2 linked regions of the Callithrix jacchus genome follow. The protein of the gene in region 1 interacts with the protein of each later gene in a pairwise test. Links are inferred from orthologs where the notes say so. Each region holds a gene or a part of one and is shown on either strand. Other genes may lie near its edges.

Region 1 (4,227 bases):
TGCTGTTGCTTTTTCTAAGTGTCTTTAGAAAATATGCTTGCTTCTTTTTATGTTATCTTACAATGTGTTAGTCTAAATCATTACCATTTTCTGTTATCTGAATCTCTGAGAGAACATTAACTTGTTTTCTTATTTCCACTCCTACCCCTTTCTCCACTAAACAGCCAGTGATCTTTTAAAATATGTAAGTTAGAGTTTGTCATTCTGCTTTCAAACCTACCAGAGCCTTCCCACAGCTAAAACTTGTGACAAAAGCCTAACTCCTAGTTATGACCCGAAAGAGACACCACATAATCTGACTTCTGTCAGGTCTCTTAAGAGCAGGGTTTGGGAGGGGGAGAAGTGGGGTAATACTGCCTCCTAGGGAGCATTTGCAAATGCGTGAAGGTGTGTTTTATTGTTTCAGTAATTGGGCGGCACTACTAGAGGCACTACTAGTCTGGACCATGTTGGTTTCTATACTGTGTTGTTCAGCTCAGGTTCCTTCACAACGCCTGATACACAAAAACACAATAGTTGGTTAAAAAATACTTATTGTATGAGCCCACATTTTCCCTGGACCTCTGTTTTGACATATATGAATTGGTATAGTGCCTACCTCATAAGGTTGTTTTGAGAGAGACATAGAATTTATAAAGTACCTGGTACACAATAGTTCTTAATAAATGATAGCAGTGGCCAGATGTGGTGGCTCACGCCTGTAGTCCATAGTTTGGGAGGGCGAGACAGGAGGATTGCTTGAGAACAGGAGTTTGAGACCAGCCTGGGCAACATGACAGACCCTATCTGTACAAAAAAAATACAAAAATAACCAGGTGTGGTGGTGGGCACCTATAGTCCCAGCTACTTGGGAGGCTGAGGCAGGAGGATCATCTGAGCCCAGGGAGTTCGAGGCTGCAGTAAGCCAAGATCCAGCCACTGCACTGGAGCCTGGGTACACAGCAAGACTGTCTCAAAATAATGATGATGATGATGATGATGATGATGATGAGGTAGTAGCTGCTAAGCTTTCATTGCTTAGAAGCAGCTACAAGGGCCCACCTAGCTCTTCCTGGAGCATTAGAATTAGAACCTGGCACGTTGGGGGAGGGAGGAAGTGTATCTCTTTCTCTGAGGCCTAATCTGAATCCTAGGTCTAACCTGAGGAATCCTAGAAGAGACTCCTCTATACTCAGCTGTAGAAACTAAAGCACAGAGGAGCACTGGTTGCATTCCTTGACTCTGGAGCTCACGCAGGACTCTGACAAGCACTGAAAAACCTGGCCTTGGAGAGAAATTACCTCTTGCTGGAGACTGGGTGTGGGAAGATAGCCCTCTCCCCGCCCTTAGCGCTGCTTTGCAGAAGAGGAGAAGCGCGCGCGGCTTCCTCCCGCCTCCTTCCCTCCTTTCTTCCCCCGCCCCTTCTGTTTCACCAACCCCGACGCAGCGCCTTCGCTGCCGCCCTGCGAGGGCGCGAGCGTGCTGCACCTCGGGAGCTGGCGGCTGAGCTGCCAGGAGCCCAGAGCAGCCCAGCCCAGCCGAATTGAGCGGAGCCCTTGGAGACGGGGCCTTGCGGGAACCCGGCTGGGCAGGGAGAGGTGCAGCTCTGCGACAGAAACAATCGCCAGAGATGCCGGGGCCAGCCTTCCCCACCAGGTAATGCTGGCCCTGCGTGGGGCTTGCCTAGATGGGCCGGGTTCTGGAGGAATCTCCGCAGGCCTTCAGAGAGTGGTGACACGGGGTTCAGTAGATTTTGAGGGGTATCTTACTTTCCTCTTACCTTAAGGGACCCTAAATGAGAGAAGGGGCTGAGGGTATGGAACCTTTAGATGAGCCCACCCAGAACTAGGCCTGCACTGGAATCGGAGCTCTGCTCAGGGAAGTGGGTAAAGGGGAAGCTGCGCCTTTGGGGAACTGCTCTGCCTCAGGAACTCTGCTTCTTTGCAAGCCCCCTTCTGCTTGGTGGCCAAGGTGATGTTTTCCTCTATCTTGGCTTGGCAGCTGGCCTGTTGGGACTGTGGGGCTTTTCTCTGTTAAGAGGTTGAGTGAACTGGGAGACAGGAGACCTGGGAGGACTGGTCCTATTCAGACATCTTCAGTTGCCTTATCTGTGCAGTGAAGGACTTGACATTGTTTGTTACTCTGGCTTTCCAAGCCTTCAGACCATCTTTTGGAAAGGTGAGCTGGTTTAAAATGCTAAAATGGGCTGCAGAGATGTTCCCCTCAACACTGCAGAAGAGAGGAGAACTTGGGAAATAGACCATACTGTTTTCCAGCCAGCCTTTTGAATGGCCTCTTGCTGGTTCTTCAGAGGCAAGGCAGAGGCTTGAGAATGCTAATGCTTATTTTAGTGTGGTGTGTAGGTGTGTTAGGTGTAGGGAGGCAGGGTTGGGAAGTAGAAGGTCAAGGTATGTTAATGGTTCTAAACTGGCCAATTTTTCTGTCTTTAGGTATAAAGTTGCTTTAAACTAGACTCTCTTCTCTGGAGCTCCTTCCTTATTCTGCTAAGTTAATGACAGACCTGGCTGTGGTAATATCTTAATCACTATAATTCCTTCCTTCTTTATTATCTGGCACCAAGAAGTTCATGTCAGGCCTGATAATAACCTACTTTAATTATTTTGGAACTCTTTCCTTCCCCCAGTTTTTTGATGACTCTACGTCTTCTTCCTCTCCTCACTCTTCTATTTTCTCCTCCTGATTTTTCCTGTCTTAGCCCTGCCTCCTGCCTACCTTTTCTCCCACCCTCTCTTCACCCTTCCTCCTCCCCTCGTGCTTCCCCTTTCCTATTTCTCCCCCTCTGTAGCCAGTCTTTCCTTCCTTCTCTCGGATCCTCCTCCTCTCGATTAGGCTTTCTTCTCTTTTCTTAAAATTTTTGGTTAAGCTTTCTCATTGTTAGTAGGTTACTGGTTTTTAGGGACCTTCTGCTGTGTTTGTGAGGTCCAAACATTGTTTTCTACCTAACTCACTTGCTTCTAGCTTTTACCTCCAAATTCTATCTTCCCCAAATACCATTCTCTCTCCTTACTGCCTCTATGCTTTGCCTTGGGCCTGCCAACAAGCAATTCTTCTTCCTGCATTTGTTTCCTGTCTTCTTTTCTGGTGGTGGTGGGGCAGCAGGTAGGCAGTAGGTAATAAGCAAGATGGGAAGTGGGGGGCTTGAGTGGGAGGAGAGCAAAAATGTCAAGTAGTGTTGGGCAGAGGTTCAAGTTCCCTTTAGTGAGATGAATGACTGGGAGGACCAGAGACTCTGGCAGCTGTGAGGTAGTGCTGATCTGGAGAAAAGGAGGTAGCCCAGGGAAGAAGAGGGAGGATAGCAGGATAGAGGGACAGGAGGAGGAGGAGGAGGCCTGGGGGAGAAGACAGTGCTCTTTGAAAAAGACGGTAGCCTGGACAAGATAGGGGTTATTTGGGGTCAGGGTATATGTAGAAAGAGAAAGATTATAGTGTGGGGAAGAGGACTATGTAGGTTAATTATCTTCCCCTTTGCTGACCGGCTTTTTGGACTGATTTCTACTCAGCAAATTTTTTTTAGTTAAAAAATGTGAAAGCATTTACCATGTTTATCATGTTTAAGTGTACAGTTCCATTTTAATAAGGACATTTATATCCTTTTCTCCTTCTTCATCCTCACCACTCCCTTTCCTGGCCTTTGGTAACCACCAGTCTACTCTATCATCATGAGATACACTTTTTTACCTTCCATATATGAGTGAGAACATGTGATATTTGTCTTCCTGTACCTGACAAAATGGCCTCCAATGTCATCTATGTTGCTGAAAATGACAGGATTTCATTCTTTTTTTATGACTGAATAATATTCCATTGTGTTACATGTGTAACACACACACACACACACACATTTTCATTTTAGCTTTTATGAATAGTGCCACAGTATTCATGGGAGTGCGTTATCTCCTTCATATATTGATTTCCTTTCTTTTAGATATATACCCAATAGTGGAATTGCTGAATCATATGGTAGTTCTATTTTTAGTTTTTTAGGAACTTCCATACTATTCTCCTTAGTGGCTCTACTAATTCACATTTTCACTGACAGCATATGAGGGTTCTTCTTTCTCTCCATCCTTGCCATCATCTATTATTGCCTATCTTTTTCTTTCTTTTTTTTCAGACAGGGTCTTGCTCTGTTGCCCAGGCTGGAGTGCTATGGCACAATCATAGCCTCCTGCAACTTCAACCTCCCAGGTTCCAGCAGTTCTCCTACCTTAACCTCTCAAGTAGTTG
Region 2 (4,187 bases), on another chromosome or scaffold:
TCAATATTCTCAATATGACTGCTCTATCAGCCTAGATCCCTGAATAAAGATGATAACAATATACAATAAAGATACAATGTGAGCAAGAAATATATATATTATTTTAATTCATTTAGCTTTGGAGATTGTTACTGCAATATAACCTGACTGATACATCATAACCTGTCTGAAATGCCATCCCTTTATAGGAAAGAAAGGCTTGGACACTAAGCACTATGATAAATGTTACTATAATTTAAAACAGTAGAAACGTGAGACTATACTATATACTATACCATATATATTTATATGGCAGCATATAAATGATATGTGGGTATATCTATTATTAATAGCCACTTAGTAAAACAGACTTTTCTCCCATCTCACCCCTCACCCAATAAAAGGAAAAAAAAAAACTTCTCAAACAATTGGATAATGTGAATTCTTCAAAATCAATGTTCAAAAAATGAAAGAAAAAAAAAACAAATTTCCTCATTTTGACCCATTTGTCAAAAATCACTTGCAGAGTTCCACTCTTTTCTCAGACCAAGCACATTAATCAAATACAGAGTGTCAAAGAGGCTTCATTTTGAGTGACCAAACAGTCAAATAAATTAGCTGCCCATGGCTCCTTTGTAATTGAAGAGGACCAGTCTGACCCAAGGGGACACTAAATCAAAAAGCAAAATGTCCAAGCAAAAACAGCATCGAGGGCCTTAAACCAACCAAAAAGCCATCCTGTATCTGCTGTGTCCAAGGGTGTTACATATGAGTCAAGCACACATGTGTTTATCCACTAATAAGAATATGCAAATGTCCCACATCTGATTGATTTCTCATGTGCTATGATCATAAAAAAAAAAAAGTTTGTGTGTGGAATACATATTCCAGACATGTGGCAGTTTATAAACCTGATCATATTATACCTACAACCTACAAAAATTTTTCCCTTTGAAATGAGATGACTCTAGAAGGTTTTCTTCTTTATTTCTGGGAAAGTCACTTAAAGTTTCTCATTTAAGTCAGTAAAGAACTGCTCGTTTTTAGTTTGCAGAGCTTTCAACTGGTGACTCAGTGAGGGGTGATGTCATGTGTTATCCTAGGACCACTGGTGTGGTTCTCTCTGCTCACTCTAACCATTCCCCCTGTTTCTGTGGCAGGCAGTCATCCCCGGTTTCCATCTTCTAGTCAGTTTCTTCCCAGCCAGCCAGGAGCACACAGCCTCACAAGCAGCGGATGAAACAGGAAGTCTGACAGCTTGAGTCTGCAGTGGGACCCCTAGTGTTTTCCCACTCCATGTCCTGGCATCGTTCCCCAGAAGTACAAACACACACACACAGAGCTCCCATTGTTGCAGCCTTCCTCAGCCCACTGATCCTAATATGGAATGCAGCAGGAAACCCATGATTTCCTGACACTCGGCAAGCTGGAGGAAGCAAGGGGAAAAAACTCCATTAAAAAGCCCAGCTTTCCTCCATGTTAGATGTGACTTGGAAAATGAGGACGATTTAGCAAAATTTCACTGTGTCTTTTGCCAGACTGGAGATAGGAAGAACAGAGCAAAACTCTCAGGCTGCTGAAATTTTTAGGCTGTTAAGAAGCCCCCCGAATTCTGTGAAATTGAAGGTTTCTTAACTCACACTGATAGCGGAAAGGGGCAGATCCTTTTCACAACTCCTCCAAGTGTGAGTTACCTTTCCTTACCAGCATGGTAAGCAACAGGGTATATCCCAGCCTCGGACATGTCTGTATGAGCCAAGGTTCCCAAAGTCAGTCAGAGTAAACTCAAGCCTGGCACTGGCTTTCCGCCGTTTCATGTGCTTTGGGAGAAGCGGGAGCAGCAGCAGGAGTCCCTAGCAGCTGGAGCCGCAAGAATGAACTGCAAAGAGGGAACTGACAGCAGCTGCGGCTGCAGGGGCAACGAGGAGAAGAAGATGTTGAAGTGTGTGGTGGTGGGGGACGGTGCCGTGGGGAAAACCTGCTTGCTGATGAGCTACGCCAACGACGCCTTCCCGGAGGAATACGTGCCCACTGTGTTTGACCACTACGCAGGTAAGAAAAACTGGGAAACTGTGCATCCAGACCAATGATGCGGGGGGTGATACCTTAACTTCAGAGGGTCCTGGCTCATTTCTAATGTCAGTATTGGGTGCGGGCCTGGCAGTAACCAGGGAGCTTAGCGTAGCATACAACCAAGGACTTGGCTGAAATTGTTGGTAGAACAATTTGTGCATCAATTTGTAGGGTAACACTTTTTCCCCCTTAAAGCAAAAGGGTAATGCCAGGAAAATACTCTGACGTGCCCTCTAGATTTGGGGGCCAGAGATTTTACTCCACATTTGCCTCAAGATTCATTAACTTTTTCTTGTGAACATTTTTAAATGCAGTGTAATTCCATCACAATTCTTTTCTGCCAAAAAAAAGAATCACCACTAGATACACAGTGAAAGGAATGTTCTTGCCACTCTTATATTCACTCCATGCCATTATAAATGAAATGTTAAGATTAATAAAACACTCATTTTTCTATAACAATTGGTGCTGTAATACTATAGTTTTATTTTCCTGGGGTTGTAGATTGGGGGAAAGTTTTTAAAAGGTTTTAAATATCTATTAGGTAATCTGTATCTTAAAAGAAAAATGTTTCATTAACATGTTTTTAAAATTAAAAACACAAATAAAATCTGAATCATTTTAAAGTATGTCCTGAAGGATAAAATGCACATACAATATTTTAAAGCATGACAATTAAGATATTGTAGTCACAACCTAATTCTTTCAGAGGACCTTTAATGTTTTGAATGTTCTAAAGTTCAAAACATTAAAGGTCCTCTGAAAGAATTAGGTTGTGACTACAATATCTTAATTGAAGTGGGTGATAGCGTTCCCTAAATTTTTCCATTTTGATTCTTACTTTTTCCCTTAATTTCCAAACCAAATTATATTAAGTCTATCAAATGCAAGTTAATGAAATTCCTCAAGCTTATAGTAGCCTGAATTTTATAACTTATTTATATTATCGTGATCTTTATCAGAGATCTGAGACTTTGTGGAAGGAAAATTTCTCCTCCTTCCCTTTGGCTTTGGGTCAGGTTCGGCAAAAGGAAAATGGCCCACAGGAAACCAGCATGAGTGTCTGCTTGGCAATGCGGCCATTTGAAATCCTCATTCTGTAGAAAGTAGCTTCTTTTCCAGAACAAAGTCATCACCTAAATCACTGCTTTCTCCTACACTTACCCAGCAAGTGTAGGAGAAAATATTACCCAGCAGACAGAGAGAGAACCACAGTGAATACAGTATCCAATTCTCAGCAGGTTTCTTTGTATTTGTAAAAATTTAGAGCAAATTTTAATGCTGGCTCACTTAAGCCTTTCTGAAAATATAATCACTGCCCAGAGAAGAACATTTTAATGAGAACAGAATAAAGAGAAGAACAGGTTGACTTTCATCTTGAGAAAAAGACTAATTATAAAATTTGAGGGTCTGCGCCTTAAGAGAGTTACTCAGATTCATGTCCTGAAAGCATCTTAGCAAAAGTTATTTATTCTACATCTTCTTTCTGCCAAGAAAGGGAAAGTGGCTACCTTATTTCAAAAACTTTAAAATCAAGGGTGGAATTCAAAATCTACTAAAGGAAGAGGCTTCAAATGCTTATGAAAATTATGTATCCAAATCCCCATACATGTAGGGAGCCAATTACCATGTTGTATCAGGAAGAAAGAGAATCAAGTCAGCCTATTAAACACACACACACACACACACACACACACACTAGAAATCAAACAAAGGCTGAACCATAGCTAGATTCCACTATGCTCAAATTATTTTATATCTTAATTATATACATACTATTATTGAGCATTAAAGCATCTTAAAGATTTTGGCTAGTCTATTATTTTAGCTCCCAAGAAATCACAACCACTACACCAAAGAGCAATACTTTGCACATAGTAAGCATTCCTGAACATGGTTCCTTTGATGTACACTTTGTACCTCTTTAAGTGTATAATCATCTCGTGTGCTTTCAGTAAGGTTTAAAAGGGAATGGAGACATGAGCCACACACGTCTAGGACTGTAATGAAGTGATCATTTCTATAAGCAGAGGGATCTTCTCCATCGCACAAACTTGATTTCCTTTTCCACCACTCTCCTGATCTATGATCTGGGTGAACATAAATCCTTATGCAATCACATGAGAACCTACAAT

What was found. The genes of interacting proteins can lie anywhere in the genome.
Region 2: the proteins of PAK1 (region 1) and RHOJ interact in binary tests that used the Homo sapiens proteins (3 or more experiments, as listed by UniProt). The link is inferred for Callithrix jacchus from reciprocal best matches to the Homo sapiens genes PAK1 and RHOJ.

What each region holds. Positions count from the first base shown.
Region 1 is NC_133511.1:63,525,041-63,529,267, forward strand, and holds the start of PAK1 (serine/threonine-protein kinase PAK 1), read left to right. Parts: upstream 1-1,427; 5' UTR 1,428-1,635; intron 1,636-4,227. UniProt on the Homo sapiens protein: Protein kinase involved in intracellular signaling pathways downstream of integrins and receptor-type kinases that plays an important role in cytoskeleton dynamics, in cell adhesion, migration, proliferation, apoptosis, mitosis, and in vesicle-mediated transport processes.
Region 2 is NC_133509.1:97,899,067-97,903,253, forward strand, and holds the start of RHOJ (rho-related GTP-binding protein RhoJ), read left to right. Parts: upstream 1-1,384; 5' UTR 1,385-1,853; coding exon 1,854-2,031; intron 2,032-4,187.